2 linked regions of the Oreochromis niloticus genome follow. The protein of the gene in region 2 purifies or fractionates together with the protein of the main gene of each other region. This does not show direct contact. Links are inferred from orthologs where the notes say so. Each region holds a gene or a part of one and is shown on either strand. Other genes may lie near its edges. The genes, in order: histone deacetylase 2 and rreb1a.

Region 1 (8,661 bases), on a different chromosome or scaffold from region 2:
TTAGTCTAACTTTGTTGTCATAACCTGAAAAATTGTTAGTCAAGGCTGGCACTGAAACAGCTGGACAACAGAAAGCCAAGAACTTGTTCCTGTAACTGTGCTCTCCAGGAACAGGTGACAATAAAAAGAATTTGCTGCCCCAGTCTAATGACCACTGCACTGACTTTGCTTCTCAAGGATTTGACTGACAGTAATGAGGTCCTACATGAGCAGTTACAGCTTTCTGTCTGTCCTTTTATAGAGGACTATTTATAAAAATGGTTGGGGCTAACTATACAGATCATGTTTCATTCTACTCAGGTTGATGACTTGTCAACAAACACAGTGCTTGTAGCTTGTACCACAAAGCAGGATTTGGGGTTTAGTGAGGGAACTTCAGGAGTCCCACCAAATCCTCAGGATTACAAAGGTGGTTCACAAAGTTACGCAAAACAAGATTAGTATTCATTATTATAGGGTCTTGTAGGGGATTCAATCCTGACCTGTTATTCCAATGACAGTCATGTCTCTAGGAATATTATCCTTCCAAATACAATGTAGAAATGACTGAGAACCACAAGACTTTTTAGATACAAATAATTGTGTTATTCTGTTAAATTGACAGCGTCTATTAATGTTACAAATAGGCAGGACTGTTGTTACAGATAGGTACAATGTCGCTGAAACAGGAGGTTTATGACTTCCTGATGTTCCTCACAAAATATTGTGAGTGTTGTGAATGTCATCACGTGGTGCATGTTCCTGCTTGTCTGCTGTGGCTCTGTGGGAAGTAGTGTGTCAGCTGGCAGAGGCAAAGACAGCACTGTGGGCACTGATACTGCTATAAATGAGTAACTAATCCGATCATCAGTTTTAGTATCAGTTAGGATCTGAGTATCTATTTTACAGTATATCTCTAACATAATCATTCAGATAGCTTGACTCAACTGACTTATCAAGACCTTTTATATGACCGCTTAGCAACATCTGATTCATCATTAGCACAACTTACCAGCTGAACCACCAGCAGACAGTTGGCAGAACTCAAACAAGCCATCGAATACCGGACAGTCCTCCCCAACATTGACTGCAGAGTAAATAAATACATAAATAAATAGGAAACCCCAAAACAGGAAGGTGTTCAAAATTCCTACTACAGAACTTTCTTACTCATACACCATAACCTAAAACTCCACAACTTCCTGACTGTTCAGTGTTCACATCTCAGACAATTACACTCTTTGGCTGAGTAAATAGTTTGAGCAGTATGAATGGAAACAGAAGAGCAGAGGAGCTCCTTGTATTCCGTACTTGGAATAGTTTACAAAATTCTGTAATGTCCCAAAGAGGACACGATGACTTACACCTCTGCATCTGTTTGCTGAACTCTGACATGTTGTCTGGTCGTATGGATCGGAGGAACTTGATGTAGTCATCACTGTGATATTTTGTCATCTCGTCTGCAGTGGCTTTGTGTGGCCTCTGAAACACAAGACAAACCAGCTGGGTGGAAACTACAACAAGGAAGGCCAGAACTTACGGTATGCTTAGTGTCACATGCTTGGAAAACATACATAGACCTCCATCTTCCTGTACAGTCCATAGTTCAGAAGTAAGTTGTGGGTCATCCGGATACGATGTGGTTTCATGGGGTGCCCCTGTCCATAGTAATAATTTCCTATGTCACCTGCAAAGACAAAAGGAACGAGATGAGAAACACATTTCCATCCGATAATAATTATTAATTGAAGCTGTGAATGAAAATAAAAATGGATGCTTTTCAGGGTCTCTCTGACCAACAAAAGAGATTTTACACTCCAAGTCACAGTCACTCATTTACATATTCTATAAAAAAGCACATTTTGTATTTTTCATCAAAATTGACAAAATGCAAAATGTGTGCACTGTGCTTCTTTTTTCCCCCTTCTTAATTATTGGCTGTTCCTGTTCTAATAGTGACCACAAACACCAAACAAAAAGACCAAATAAAACCCCCATATGTTAAGGTATTAGCTGTTTTAAATCTTTGAGATATTCTGTGGCTGCTAACTTAACAACTAGCATGACACAAGCATAATGCTAGAACAGCAAATAACAGAAAAGGAAAGCGAACAGAGTTTTTCTCAAAACAACAACAGCGGGCAACAACAGCAAGATCAGTCACGGTGTAATACCATAAGTATCATTCAAGCATTTTTAATGTAACTGGAAAACTATGTTTGCTTACCACCAAGAAGTAGATCACAAGACTGTGCAGGTCAAACAGTGATGTTTACTTCAATTTTACCTGCACATGCAGTTATCCTACAATAGCTCACTACACCTTCTTCAGACTATGAATGAACTCCTGATCTCAGTTGCCAATATTATTAAAAAGTATAAAGTTCACGAGGCTGTAGCCAACCACCCAGTACACGGGTGCAAGAGCAAATGCAACCTCAGAGGAATAGCACGGACAGTAGAAAAGAGAAAAAAACAACTGGGTTGTTGTGTTTAGTGAGACATAAAAAGCAACATAAAAACAACAATAACACAGCATTTGACTGTTAAACATTCAGAGGAAAACTGAATGCACGGTTGAGTTCTAGTACATGTAAACTGAATGCAGGGCTATGTGTGAACAAAGTTAGTTTTTACTGCGAGTCTCTGCAAACCTCTGACAAGACACTGTAACTATGTTCCCTGTACACGAGGAATACAAATAAGTGGTTTCTCTTATGAGATAGTGTGATGTTAGACAACACGGTGATACGCTCTAATAAGGCCTGAGCACTTAATTGTGTGCAACAGTGGCACATTTTGCTTTATTATTTTCACGAATGTAACTCTGACGTCGACTCATCAGTTCCTAATCATTTTGATTTGACAGAGGTAACGAGGTGTACAAAGCCCGTGCACAAAGTTATACAATCGTGACAATGAATGCTTGTGTCGCTAATTCTCAACATTAATTTAACCGAAGCCCTCCTCTTTTCTCTGGCTCGGTTTACGTAAGGTGATTTTTTAAAACTTTTACTCATTTTAACAGTTAACACACGAATACTCTCTTTGCACCGCGGAGACCTTTCAAACGCTGGTCATTAGCGCCTACTCGTTAGCTTGCTAGTGTTATTTTCACCATTCACCAGCAGCTACACTGACTAGCTGGCTAGCGTTAGCCTGCCAGATGGCTCAGTTTGGGCTCCCCATTCACACGCTCAGGATGTCCCATACCGTCGTAGTAGTAGCAGACCTTCTTCTTTGTCCCACCTGCGGTCGTGTAAGCCATTTTAAAAGTTCCTCTAGAAATAAAAAGTTGGTTTGAATGTGCTTGAGCAGACAGAAGATGGGATGGACGGCATCAACACATAACTACACACGGCGGAAAGTCGGTGAATGGGAGGCGCAACTTCGGCGGGGAGGGGCGGGTCAGACAACTTCGGTAGGCCACTTACCCCACCGCGAGGAGTCCCACTCAACCCAGAGTATGGTAAAATGGACTTTCAAGGATGTGTGAAACATGGTAAAAACGCGCTTCATAAAATTCAGTTCCACCGCTTTATCCTTTACATTAATTAATTTCTTACTACCATGCAATAGAATTAGAATTAGATTTTTTTTTCTCCAGTTTTCACCTGGTTTGGTTGCATATTTATCCCAGAGAGAATTTTCTGATTTCCTGCATTGTGCTAGATATCACAAAAGTCATTTTTGGGCAATGCCCTGATTTTATTCTGCGCTTTAAAGGAATTTTAAGAGAGTAATATCAAAAAAGCCAGTATAGATTTGCACATGGACTTAAGGCAGAGCTGGGGCTGTTAACTTATCAGGTTGTACAAGAGTACTAATCAGTTCTTCTTCTTATCCACAGTTAAAGTGTTGTTATGGAGCTATATCTGAGTGGAAGGCTTTTGAGAACCAGACCACATTTTAACAAGTCTGATATCTGAACATTATATATCTATATAGTGAAAGTTGGGGAAATGTCCACTTAAAGAAAATCATGGCAGACAGAATCCTCTCATAGCTTGACATAAGTGGTTCCAAATTCTTTGTGCACCGGTAATCCTGTACAGTACTGTTCAGATACAACGCAATCAATGCCAATGTAGAAATCTCTGATATATATGACTATATGTGTAGTGTGTAAATTTTTTGCTCCACTGCCCCTGCATTTTCCAAATGCAGACATTTTTACTTTAAAAAAAATATTGATATTGTAGCGGGTCAGGGTTGTTAAGGGGTTTTGTTATTATAGTTCTGTTTTCTGTTGTCATAGTGATGAGTGACGCGCTCTCTCGGGGAGAGAGCGCCTTTTTTGTTCTTATGTTGTTGTTGCCGCGCTGAGGAGGGAGGTAGCGGCAGTGTTCTGGGCCGGTTGTAAATAAACGGGTGCTCCCAAAGAAACCTCTGTCTCCTCCGTGTCTGAGCTCGCCACATTGGTGTCAGAAGTGGGATTGCTCACCCTCGCCATAATGGAGAGAGACATTCGGAGGCTGGAGCAAGCTGTCGAGGAGAGCATCCGCTGCTTGGGAAGCTGGCGATCGAGGAGAGAGGAAGCGAGCAGCCATGTAAGTCCCCCGACGGGTCCCGACGGCGCGAGCGCACCGCAGCGGCGGCCCATCGCGACAGACGCTGGGGCAATGCTTCATGGGCTGCCTCTGTCGACCGACACACCGAGCCCCCGACAGCGAGCAGTGATGCCTGCAACGCCAGCTAAGGTACCGAAATACAACGGGCTAACCCCGCTAGAGCCCTACCTCTCACAAGTACGGCTAGCCGCGAGGCATAATGTCTGGAGCGACGAAGAGGCTGCTACACACCTAGCGCTAGCATTGGAAGGAGATGCACTGCAGGTACTCCTTGACCTAGCCCCGTCGGAGCAGCATGAGCTCCAGGCCCTCACCATAGCACTCGAGAGGCGATTCGGGCAGCGGCACTCCACTGATCAGAGCAGAGAGCAGCTGACCAACCGGAGCCGTCGGCCGGGGGAGAGCCTGGGCACCTTTGCAGTGGACGTGTTGCTGCATGCTCGTCGTGGCTACCCGGAGTTCCCAGCAGCAGCCCATGAGGAGCTTAGCCTGCATGCTTTTCTGCGAGGACGTTTTCCAGAGCGACTATGCCAACACGTCCGCCTGGCCATGCCTCAAACTCTCTGTGAGGCGCTCCTTGAGGCTGAGAGGGCCGAGCTGGTGTTCACCTCGCAACCTAACCAGCAGGTGCCCCCCCCAAACATGGAGGAGATGTTCGCCCCACCATTTCCCTGATACGACCTGGCGTGCTCCCTGGAACGTCCGGGCCATTGGTGAAGGGTTGGTCGCCCACCGACACCCAGCTGATGACGGTGACGGGTGAGAGGGCTGATATGCGGGGGAAGAAACCGTTGCGGGTCCGAGTGAAGGATCTGGAGCTGGTGCATGACTTCTGGCTTGCTGACATTCAAGACCAGTGCATCATCGGCCTTGATCTGCTGACCCACTGGGGGGCCTGCGTCGACACCGCAAAGCGGGCTATCACTCTTGGCACAGAGACTCTTGCCCTCCAGTGCGGTCAAAAGCAGGGAGCAGAGGGAACCAGAGCCAGACGAGACAGGCGTCGGGCGGCTGCCGCTCAGCAGATTTCGGGTGCTGGTGGCTCCGGGTCATCTCTACTCACCTCAGCCCCGGCCTCTCAGCCCGACAAATCTCCCTCGACCGAGACAACCGAGGCTGTTGGTGACCTGTGGCAGCGCAGCAGCGTAGGTCTCAACGTTGACCAGCGCCAGCGGTTGAGGTGCCTCCTGGACGAGAATGTGGACATCTTTGCCGCCAGTGACAAAGACTGCAGGCAGACGGGGCTGGTCCAGCACACCATCGACACCGGCTCTGCTCAACCCATCCGTCTGCACCCGCACCGGCTGCCCCTCTCCAAACGGCAGGTGGCGGAGGAAAAGATCCGTGAGATGGCTGCGGCTGGGGTGATCGAGCCGTCCAACAGCCCATGGGCGGCACCCGTAGTCCTGGTGTGAAGAAGGATGGCAGCCTGAGGTTCTGCGTGGATTTTCGCTGTCTGAACGCAGTCACCAAGAAGGACTCGTACCCGCTTCCACGGATCGACGAGGCCCTGGATTACGTTACCGGCTCCAGCTGGTTCAGCTCCCTCGACCTACGCAGTGGCTACTGGCAGGTGGAGCTAGCCCCCGAAGCAAGGCCTAAGACTGCATTCACCATTGGACAGGGGCTGTGGCAGTTCAGGGTCATGCCATTTGGGCTTTGCAATGCGCCAGCGACGTTTGAGAGGCTGATGGAGAGGGTGCTCGTGAACATCCCTCGTAGCCGCTGTGTTGTGTACCTGGATGACCTGTTGGTGCACGGTGGCGACTTCGACAGTGCACTGTCTCACCTGAGCGAGGTCTTCAGCGCCATCCGTCGAGCTGGGCTGCGGCTCAACCCTGCGAAGTGCCGGGTGTTGGCGAGAGAGACTACGTTCTTGGGCCATGTGATCAGCGCTCAAGGTATCGCCACCGATTCCACAAAGGTGGCTGCGGTCAGGGACTGGCCGACTCCCTCGAACGTCAAAGAACTGCGGAGCTTCCTGGGCCTAGCCTCCTACTACCGTCGGTTCATCAAGGGGTTTGCGATGATGGCCAGCCCCCTCCACCGCCTGACTGACAAGTGCCAGCTGTTTGGCTGGGGTGATGCCTGCACTGCGGCTTTTGCACAGCTGAAGGAGGCCCTCACCAGAGCCCCAGTTCTGGCCTACCCCGACGCCCGGCAACCTTTCATTGTGGACACTGACGCTAGCAATGTAGGAGTCGGGGCGGTCCTTTCCCAGCAGGGCGAGGCTGGAGAACGAGTGGTGGCATACTTCAGCCGTGCTCTGGGGCGAGCCGAGAGCAACTACTGCGTGACCCGGCGGGAGCTGCTGGCCGTAGTGCTAGCGGTGCGGCACTTCCGGCCATACCTGCACGGCTGCCGGTTCCTCCTGCGCACTGACCATGCATCTCTGACCTGGCTCCTGAATTTCAAACACCCAGAAGGTCAGGTGGCCCGCTGGCTGGAGGTCCTTCAGGGCTACGACTTTGAGATCCAGCATCGGGCAGGTCGGCAGCATGGCAACGCTGATGCCCTCTCCAGACGGCCCTGCATGGCCGTCGAGTGCCGCTACTGTCTGCAACAGGAGGAGCGGGCCCAGGAGGTGCTGGGGGTGGCTACTGCTCAGGCCACAGCCAGCGGAGGGGGGTGGCTCCCATTGACAATGCAGCAGCTGAAGCGGGAGCAGGAGGCCGACGCGACGTTGGTTCAGGTGGGGGCCTGGCTGGAGGCGGCGCAACGCCCAGACTGGACGGGGGTGTCGGGTCAGGAGCCCGAGGTGAAGGCCTACTACTCCCAGCACAACAACCTGGAGACCCACGACGGCCTCCTGTACCGGAGATGGCAGGCCCCCGGTCAGGGCAGAGATCTCCTGCAGCTGTTGGTGCCTCGGTCGCTGCGGTCGCAGGTGCTTGAGCTTGTCCACGGCTCGGTGGGGGCAGGCCACTATGGGAACGCCAAAACTCTCCGCCGCCTCAGGGGACGGTTCTACTAGCCTGGCTGTCGACGGGATGTGGAACTTCACGTGCACTGCTGTGACACCTGCACGGCGCAGAAGGGCCCCACTCAACGCTCCACTGCCCCCCTTCAGCAGTACTTGGTGGGGGCCCCGATGGAGCGAGTGGGAGTGGACGTCCTAGGGCCTTTCCCCGTTACGGAGTCAGGGAACCAGTACGTGCTGGTGGCGATGGACTATTTCACAAAGTGGCCGGAGGCCTACGCGGTACCGGACCAGAGTGTGACGACGACGGCAGAGAGGCTGGTGGAGGAGATGTTCACCTGTTTTGGGGTCCCAGCTGAGCTCCACAGTGACCAGGGGCGCAACTTCGAATCGAAGGTCTTTGGGGAGATTTGCCGGCGGCTGGGGGTGGAGAAGACAAGAACCACACCGCTCTACCCGCAAAGCGATGGCTTGGTTGAGCGTTTTAACCGCACACTGGCTACCCAGCTCGCCATTCTCACCAGCCGCCACCAGCGGGATTGGGACCAACATCTGCCCCTGGTCCTTTGGTCGTATCGGACTGCGGTTCAGGAGTCCAGCCAGTGCACGCCTGCCGCTTTGATGTTTGGGCGGGAGCTCCGGACGCCTGTGGATCTGGTGTTTGGGTCCCCCCCGAGCCGGAGATTGACGGTGGGCCAGAGATGGACTACTACAGGAGGCTGAGGGAGCGGCTGCAGGTGGTTCACGACTACACCCGCCAGGCCCAGGCCAGCGCCGGAGTACGACAGAAAAGAGCCTACGACACCAAGTGCCGGGGGGAGGTTTTTGTGCCTGGCGACAAGGTTTGGGTGTACTGCCCGGTTCGCAAGAGAGGAGTGTCCCCCAAACTGTGCAGTCACTGGCAAGGGACGGCGGAGGTCGTGGAGCGGCTAACGGAAGTGGTGTACCGTATCCGTATGCCAGGCCCAGGGCGCATGGTGGTGTTGCACCGGGACAGGCTTTCACCGTACCGACCGCTCGCTCCGGCAGACGCCGGGGCAGGGGATGCTGGTGACACCCCAGGTTCTGATCCGAGTGACTTTTCCCCTGCCGGTCGAGACCGGCCGGTGCGCCAGAAGAAGGCACCCGGACACTTACAGGGCTTTGTGTGGGGTAATGGGGCTGTCGGGGATGACTGACCCCTTAGGTGGG
Region 2 (8,412 bases):
CCACAAACACTCTGTGGAAGTGTGAGCATGTAGTGAACAAATGCATTTCTATAGATAAAACAAAGAGAAATGTCACTTTCTCAGAAAATGTGGAAAAAAACCAAAGCAATTGTGGGTAAAAGTGTTACAAAATCACCATAATTTCCTTTTAGAGAGCTACCAGAGCACTAAAGATTGTAATTATAGAAGTAAAGTCACAATCATCTTGCCAAAACTCAGTAATAGTTACAGCTTGACAAATATGGAAACAGAGCATCGCTAACTGCCATTGAAACAAGCCAAAGTCCCTAATGAAACCCATAAATCCACTTTAAAGTGTGTCTGTATAAGCTGAGCTGGACTGCAGCAACAAACAGACGTTACAGGAGTGCGTTAAACAGCAAAATGTTTGAAGAAAAGTTACAAAACGAAGCAATAATACACGCGTAAAGGTCGCTAACATTAGCCAAACAAGCTACTGGTCAATCCAGACTACATGAAGAGGGAGGGGGTAAAAGTTAGCTTGAAAGTCCTCCAGAAAGTGATAAAGTCACCAAAGACTCGCTGTTCCTCAATTTATGATGGATTTGTTTAAAACAAAACAAAACAAAACAAAAACAAACAAACAAAAAAACAAACAAAAAACAAAAACTGCCCCAAAACGAGTATGAAAGAAAAAAATAGCTAAACTTACAGCAAACCCCCACAGGAACAACCATAAACCCACTTTAAGTGAATCATGGCCTTAATTACTGATGATGGGATTATGTTAAAGCCAAAACATACTAACAAAAGTCAATAAACAGGTTCAAGTAAAGTGGGACACCACCCAAACTCCCCTGAGGATGCTGAACTACAGAAGGACGTATTTCTTATTAATCACTCACAACACATTGCCAAAAACTCTGTACTGTTTAAGTAATTAGAGTAAAAGCACTTTTTGTATTCTTACGAAACTTTGTAAAAAGCACTGAAAGTTAGCCAGCTTAGCCAAACTGCGCCGACAGCAGTCATAGGCTGAGCTAAACGCAAAAAAATATACACAAACGTCAACAAAATGAGCTTAATTCAACTTTTTTCTTCTATAACTTAATTTACACCCAACACCCTACATCGAACCATAAAATGGGTCCATTTTATTCAGTATAATTGGAGAAAACGTTAAACAGAAGGAAAATTAAAAGGATTTATTCTCCAGAAACTAAACTACCAAAAACAAACCCACTCACATGAATACAAACCCACTTTAAAGCGACTTTATTCAACTTTTGATGAACTGTGGACACAATTAACTACTGTTGGACTGTGCTCCAAACATACAAGCCAAAACTTTTTAAAGATTTAAAGGGAGTAAAAGTTACAGTTAAAGCCATGAAGTCACCACAGAGTCGCTGTATTCAATGTAATTAGAATAAAAGTCCATTTATTGTGTATAAAATTGTGTTGTATCTGAGAGCCGCGATGGCCTCTGTGCTTTAAACAATGACAGACTCCTCTTACAGTGAGGTTAAAGTTCCTCAGCAGGGAGGTGCACAGAGGTAGAGAGACACTGGGCCAACATGGAGAGAGAGAGAGAGAAAATCCCTAGCAACCATTATCTAACCAGTCCAGCCTGAGACCGAGAAAAACGCCATCGGTCCATCTCCTCTCCCTCCTCGAACTCCGCGGCCATCAATCATTGACCCGGACACCGATAACAGCGCCTCTTTGACACAGTAAAACCGCGTTATGGGAGTTATTTAACAGCCCGGCCAGCATCCTCCGTCGTGTACCAACGCGGAAAAAAAGGAAAAAAAAAAAAAAACACGACGAGGAGGCTAACGGCTAACAGCGCCGCGAAAAAGTTCTCCAAGTCGACGCTTTGGGGCTGGGGGGCGGTTAAAACGGGGGGGCGCCCGGTGGTTACCGTTTAAAATGGAAGTTAGAGCCGAGGATGATGTCGAAAGACAGAAAAGACGGAGCTCGAGGACGGGGGAGGAGGAGGAGAAGGTGGATGCAACAGGCGTCACGTCGATGCTGCTGCTGCGCGTAACCACAGACGGTGGAAAAGTGTCGGGAACGCGGCGAAAAGTCGCCCAACTGCCGCAAAAACTGGCGCAGGTGGAGCGGGCCGGCGAGTTCGGCCGCCTCGCCGCCGTGTTGGGCCGGTTCGTGAATGAACGGGGGTCCCTTTCTACCTAAATATGTCTGGGCAAGGTCATCGCGCTGGCGTCGAGCTCGCTGCCATTAGCGGAAGTCGAGCCACCAAAATAAAAGCTATATTTTCTTTTATTAAGCCAACAGACTTAAACTCACATCCACACGTTTGCGGATGTGTGTACATTATACTAAGTAAAGGAGGCTTTTGTGACTTTTTTCACACACAGTTAAATATAAGAGCAATATGTGATGTGATTTTCACCATGAAATGAATAATTTTACCATTAAACCTGCTTTAGATGTATTAGCACCTATATAAGACCTTCAGTGCCTTCACAAGCCCATAAAAAGCATCTAGAGCCAGACGGCACGGTGAGAAAACCATCATTCACAAAGAAAAGCATCAGCAAACTCAACCACAGTTAAAACCATTAGCTTCAAAGCTGAAGTCTGAATCAATTTCAGGTCAGAGCGCTTACTAACACCAAACGTGAGGTAACCCTTACGGTTCTCCGTGTGCAACAGGTTGTTTTACTTTGAAGAAGTGTCTTTGAGGAAGTACTCCGTCGGTTGCCGTTCGCTTGAGCGCTTAGTTTTACACATGGCCACTAGCCCCGAGGCTTCGACCAAAGTGCATCCGAGATATGGATGCTCGACTCCGGCTGCGAGCTGCAGACTTTGACCTCCCCCCCCACCTCCCTACGCCTCCTAACACCCTCCCCGCGGGGCAAAAACCGCCGAATAACTGCCCTAAACGTGCACACGGGGCGATAAAGTTGCACCAAAAGTCGAAAAACAACAAGTTGCTGAATGAGGAAGAGACACACACACGACTGAATTCCACCGCTTGGATGCGCATCAAACTAGGAAGCAGCCCAGAGAGGAGAGAAAAGTAGTAACGCCACCCTTACCGTCTCCACATCTCCGCTCAAACTTCACCCCTGGCAGCCCAAACAGGCGCAAAGTTCTCCCCGAGAGGCGCAAACAGCGCGGGGAGCCTGCGCAGACACTCGCACAGCACCAAAACTCAGCGATGGAGACGAAAAGGACACTTACGCTTCACTTTGTTGGGGTTGGGCTGCTTGCGCCGAGACATCGTGGCGAGGATGATGGTGGTTGTGGTGATGGGGGGGGCTGATGATGATGATGGTAGATGAACGGCGGTGATCGGGGATGATGAAGGTGATGAAAGAAAAAAAAAAGAAAGGGAGAGAGAGGCTGCAAAGTTGCTCCGCAGAGGAGAGAACTCAAAATGGCGTATTCCGAATGGATGAGCAAACTTGGACAAACTTTACTCCGGCTTCTCCTCCTCCTCCTTTTCTCCCCTCCCCTCCTCCACCTCCTCCTCCTCCTCCTCCCGTGCTGCTGCTGCTTGTCTTCCTCTCTTCCCTCCCGAGGAGGAAAGAAAAAAGTCGACTCGTGGAGAGGAAAATGTCGCTTTGGAGATGTTTTATACTTTAAACTCCTTTAACTCCCAGCTCCCTCCTCCTCTTCCTCCCTCTCTCGGTCTCTCTCTCTCTGTAGCTCTTGCGCACACTCTCTCGCTAAACCTGATAAGTAAAGCTCATCACGTGTTGTCTCCAGTTTCCAAGGGGACGTGGCCACCAAGCATCTCAGTCAGTACGCACAGACACACGGACAGCCGTTACTGGATTACTTATTCCAGCCGTGATGGAACAGGAAACGATCCCACCTGAGAGCTCTGAAACCAAAAAATAAACTTCAAAAGTCCGCAGAGGCCTCGCGGTGCGCAATTTAACTCGCGTGCGCTGCGGATTTCTGCTTTAATGCGCGGAAATATTCACTTTTAAGCAACTTTCTTCCTCAAAGTATTGACATTTTCACCCAGCGTGTCCTCTCACAGCCAGAAAGTCCCCTCGTTTCCTGCCTCGCTTCAGAGTCTCTCAAAGAAACCCGCTTTTACGCCGCTCCTTTATCATTTACGCGGAGTTTCGGGGGCTAAAAAGATAAGAAACCATCCTTTTAAACCCACACACGCTACACGCGCAGCTGCCTCATCTATCGCGAGAGCTCTGCACGCGATTTCAAAGAGGGAGGATGCATAGGGTCAGCCAGAAGCTGGGGAGGTGGCTGTGGAAGACTGTGCTACCGTTTCCAGGGAGGTGTTGGTGAAGCAGTCACTTTGTTTTCCGGGATGAAGCGAAGAAATGCGCGTGGGGGAGAAACTCGAAAGTTCACATAAAGACGTTGAAGTCGAACTAAATCACGTGCAGGTACCTCTGTGCTCCATCCATGGACACGCAGCAGGAGTCATGTGACCCGCGATAGTGGTGATTAGCTCAAACTCAATAATCCCATGTTTTATTTTCAACATGCACATGTTTTAGTTTGGACAGGATTATGTAAAATTACAAACTAAAACATTTTCACTTCACATTAAAGTTCATTTCAAAGAACTCCAATGCACTGAGTCTACTGATTATGAGTTAAATGCTTCTTTGTTTCTATTTCTTAAGTATTGTAAACTTAAATCTGATTTCCCTGTGGATGCTGTGTGTCAACTTTCCATGAAAATCTAAAGGATGTGACGTTTATGTGAGCTCCCGAGTGCCTCGAGACCCCACTACATCCTCACACACGAATAACCTCAGCCGGAGCGAACCATCGGGCAGCCCAGCACAGGAATAAACACTGAAGGTACAGAGCTCTACAGGGAGGCTCTGGAAGTAAAACCCTTAAGAAAGTCCTGACATTCGAAGTGTAACCCTAAAATGAAGCCAACTAGCCACGAGGTGAATCATGAACACAAAAAGTTTGATTTGGATCAAAAAAGAGTAACTAAAAGAGGCAAAGTCTGTGTACATGATTACTTTTACAGCTGAAGGAACTACTCCCACAATGCAGTGCAACTCTCACATTCACCTTGGCACTTTTAATCCTCTTCATTATTTGTTGTGTATGTGTGCGTGTAGGCTAGTTACCAGTATTGGGGTGAGATATTACTTTTTAAAAGTAGTGCATAGTGTTACTTAATGACTTCCTGGAGAAAGTAACCCTTTCCACTTACTCGTTACTTTGGTGTGAGTCTGTAATATGGTCTGAAATGCATTGCTACAGTTACCAGTATAAACCTGAGGCTCGCTCACACAGACCCCTGTCCTAATGAGGACACATATAAGATGTGTAAGTGTCAACACAACACTCACAACATAAAGAAAAAAGAAGATGTTAACCAGCCCAAAGACACTTTAAAGCCATCACCATGGTGATTTAAGAAAATGAGGAGACCTGAATGTAGTACAGTTACATGTTACATTACTGTGTTACTGAAAAATGTCATGTAACTTCAGTAATGCGTCATATTGATAGCACTGCTAGCTATCATTATAGCACGGTGCTTTATTCTTGGCTGTAATCATTGCCTGGGCTGCTTCTGAAGTTTCACGGTCACAAAGCAAACAGAAATTCATGGGTTTAAAAGTTTCTATGGCAACAGTGATTTAGGATTATGGGTAGAGTACTTGTTTTTCACAGTAAAACGTTTTTTATTCAAATAAGCTCAATTTTATACAGACATGAAGTTCAGAGTGTCGTAGCTCATCTTGAATCTGCTTTGATGGCTATAACTTCGTGGCTCATAATCAAAATCCCTGAAGATAATATCATACTGGTACTTTTTAATCCCAGAAATTTACTGTTGATCTTACAGTTTAGTCAGGACTCAAACTAAAGTTAGCCTGCTAACTGCTACATGGGTTAGCAAGCTGTCTGGTGTAACAGGTATGCTAACATTGGCTAACATTAGCCAGAAGAAAGCTAGTTTTACCCAAATGCTCAAAATCATTCAGTCTAATGAGAGAGTTTCTGATTACAGCTAGCTAACACTAGCTTGTCTGCTAACATGGACCAATACAACAATACAACAATAACAAGCTATGCAGCACAGCAAAACTATACACCTAAAAACAAATTATTTAATTTTGTGTTTACTTTGACTATTACGATAGTTCTGTGGTATGCGTTCTACCTTATGAGCTACATGCCATTCTACTCATTAAGGATTTTTGTAGTCTTTAGCTTAATTTCTAACCATGTAAAAAAAAACTTATTTTTTGAAGATGGAATAAATAAAACTTATCTTATGCTAACATATCTTACCTTAATTAATCCAAAATACTGGGGCTGATGTGGCTAGCAGTGTTGCTAACTCCTCAGTAAGGAAAATCGCTATTGGCTGTCCTAAAAGTAGCTAGAAGTCGCTAAATGACGTCATCACCTAATTTGCATAATTGGTCATGCTAATGTAATTGTAACCTACCTTGTAGGAGAGAAAAATAACATCATGGAAGCGACATAAAGTGAGTTAAAAACGTCCTAAATGCATTTAGAATTTATTTACAACTACAAATTAAATGTCTTTTAGCAATTATTGTTTTTTTTTTAATGTCACAATTCCAACCCTACTCCTTTATCTGGGCTTGGACTGGCAAAAGTGACATGAAATTGGCACACTGGTGGAGTTACATTGTGTAACTTGTCGCTAGTCACTTTTTAGAAAAAAAGTCGCTAAGGGGGTCTGAAAACTCGCTAAATATAGCGACAAAGTCGCTAAGTTGGCAACACTGGTGGCTAGTGGGTTAGCTTGAGATTTTCAAGCTAATGGACTATTAGTGAGAGATTTATGTAACATAACTTAACAAATTTAGCTAACGAACCATAGCTTCTTTTCTTCCTAATAAAGGTAATGTATATGAATGGAAATGTTATTAGCGGGTATCTGTGTCAGTGTGATATAACCATGCACTTTATGGCTAAAGCTAGCAAACAAAGCTAGCTAGCATTAGCTAATGACTCAGCAGTCCATTATTTTTCCAAATATGCTCATTCCGGCTCCAAGAAAACAATATACCAACTAAAGCCATTGTAAAATATGGAGATAGTTATAGTGTGACCCACTGTGCTTGAGCCATCTTGGTAGGAAAAATCCAGATGTGATGAGGAAGATTAGGTTAGTGACTTATGACTGACAATTCATCAGCCAATGAGCTTGCAGTTCCGTGGAAAAAGATAATCGTCCATTTAGAAACATGGTATGATCTAAATTTATGAAACAGGCTCAGTATTTTATTCAATATGACACAAAGTGAGTGTCTCAGCAAAAAAAAAGTGTATTTCCATAAACTTGTACAGGACTGGAAATCTTTTCGAAACTACAGCTATCCCCATCTGGTGGCTCTCAGACAGAATGCAGGTTTTTAGGCACTTCCACAGTGGTTATGTCCACGATTTACACCGTCAATGGCACCGTCACAAACTCTGAGGCTTCAAAACGTAGCCTCCAAAATCAGTGGTTGACATCACGTTGGCTACATACAGTGTGTGGAGCATCGCGCTTCATACCAAGCTAAAGGTCATAAAACACGAGCGATCTCTGACACTCAGTGCTCAGAGTTGAACCCTCACAGAGCCTGAACTTTATGAGGCTGAAACTCTCCACTACAGAAACCTGCTCCGCGATTTCAAGGCGGCACTGACCTTTGTGCAAATCACTCCACTGTTAAGGACCTCAGAGAACAATGTACCTCCTCTGGGGTATGTTGGGTGGGGCTGATGTATTAAAGCAGTGGCCCTTAAACTGTTGTGACATGATGGCACTGGAGGTGGGGCAGCAGTGGGACAATAAGTGTAATGAGTATCATTTTCTAAGGAAAACAAACAAGAGTGTACCTGTGCTATGGAGCTGCCTCTTATTTCACAAACATCCAGCTTGTTCCATTTTTTATTTACAGTAATTAATAGAAAGGCGCACGTAGACCGAACACTAAGAATGGATCCAAGAACGTTCTTTGGTTTTAAAAGAAAACCACATAAATGCTGCATTAGAATAAAGGTCATCAGACAAAAGTAGAAATTGAAAAGCTTTTTGATATTTCTGTTTCTGCTGGTAGGCTGGGCTCATTTAGTTTCCCTCTCAGGACGTCAGGGGGCAGTTTTAACACCAACAGGTTTAAGTTAGACAGAATCTCCTGAAGCTCAGCAGATGCTGATTCATCACCTGAACCAGATTCCCAGAGGAAACGAGCATGGCTTTTCCTTTCAGCAGGAGTTATTCTCCTCACTGCACAGAGCTGCCCACCCTTCCCCCTTCTGGGCTCTAGGTCCACTCGCTCATCCACAGAGGGTGTCCACACAGGAAAATTCCTCAAACTTCTTTTTGAACTCACATTTTCACATGATTTCCACGTGAATCATTTATTCCGTCATTCCTGATAAAGTGATTCACCCAGAACGAGAGTAGGGAAACACCCAAAGTCTTGTCTGTCATCATCATCA

The links.
Region 1: the proteins of rreb1a (region 2) and histone deacetylase 2 purify together in Homo sapiens (affinity purification with mass spectrometry; 4 studies listed by BioGRID and IntAct, with this or other methods). This does not show direct contact. The link is inferred for Oreochromis niloticus from reciprocal best matches to the Homo sapiens genes RREB1 and HDAC2.

Annotation. Positions count from the first base shown.
Region 1 is NC_031980.2:30,565,222-30,573,882, reverse strand, and holds the start of histone deacetylase 2, read right to left. Parts: upstream 3,387-8,661; 5' UTR 3,248-3,386; coding exon 3,193-3,247; intron 1,667-3,192; coding exon 1,554-1,666; intron 1,462-1,553; coding exon 1,344-1,461; intron 1,067-1,343; coding exon 992-1,066; intron 1-991. UniProt on the Homo sapiens protein: Histone deacetylase that catalyzes the deacetylation of lysine residues on the N-terminal part of the core histones (H2A, H2B, H3 and H4).
Region 2 is NC_031974.2:1,762,986-1,771,397, forward strand, and holds the start of rreb1a (ras-responsive element-binding protein 1), read right to left. Parts: upstream 3,445-8,412; 5' UTR 3,215-3,444; coding exon 3,175-3,214; intron 3,169-3,174; exon of another isoform or gene 3,030-3,168; intron 1-3,029.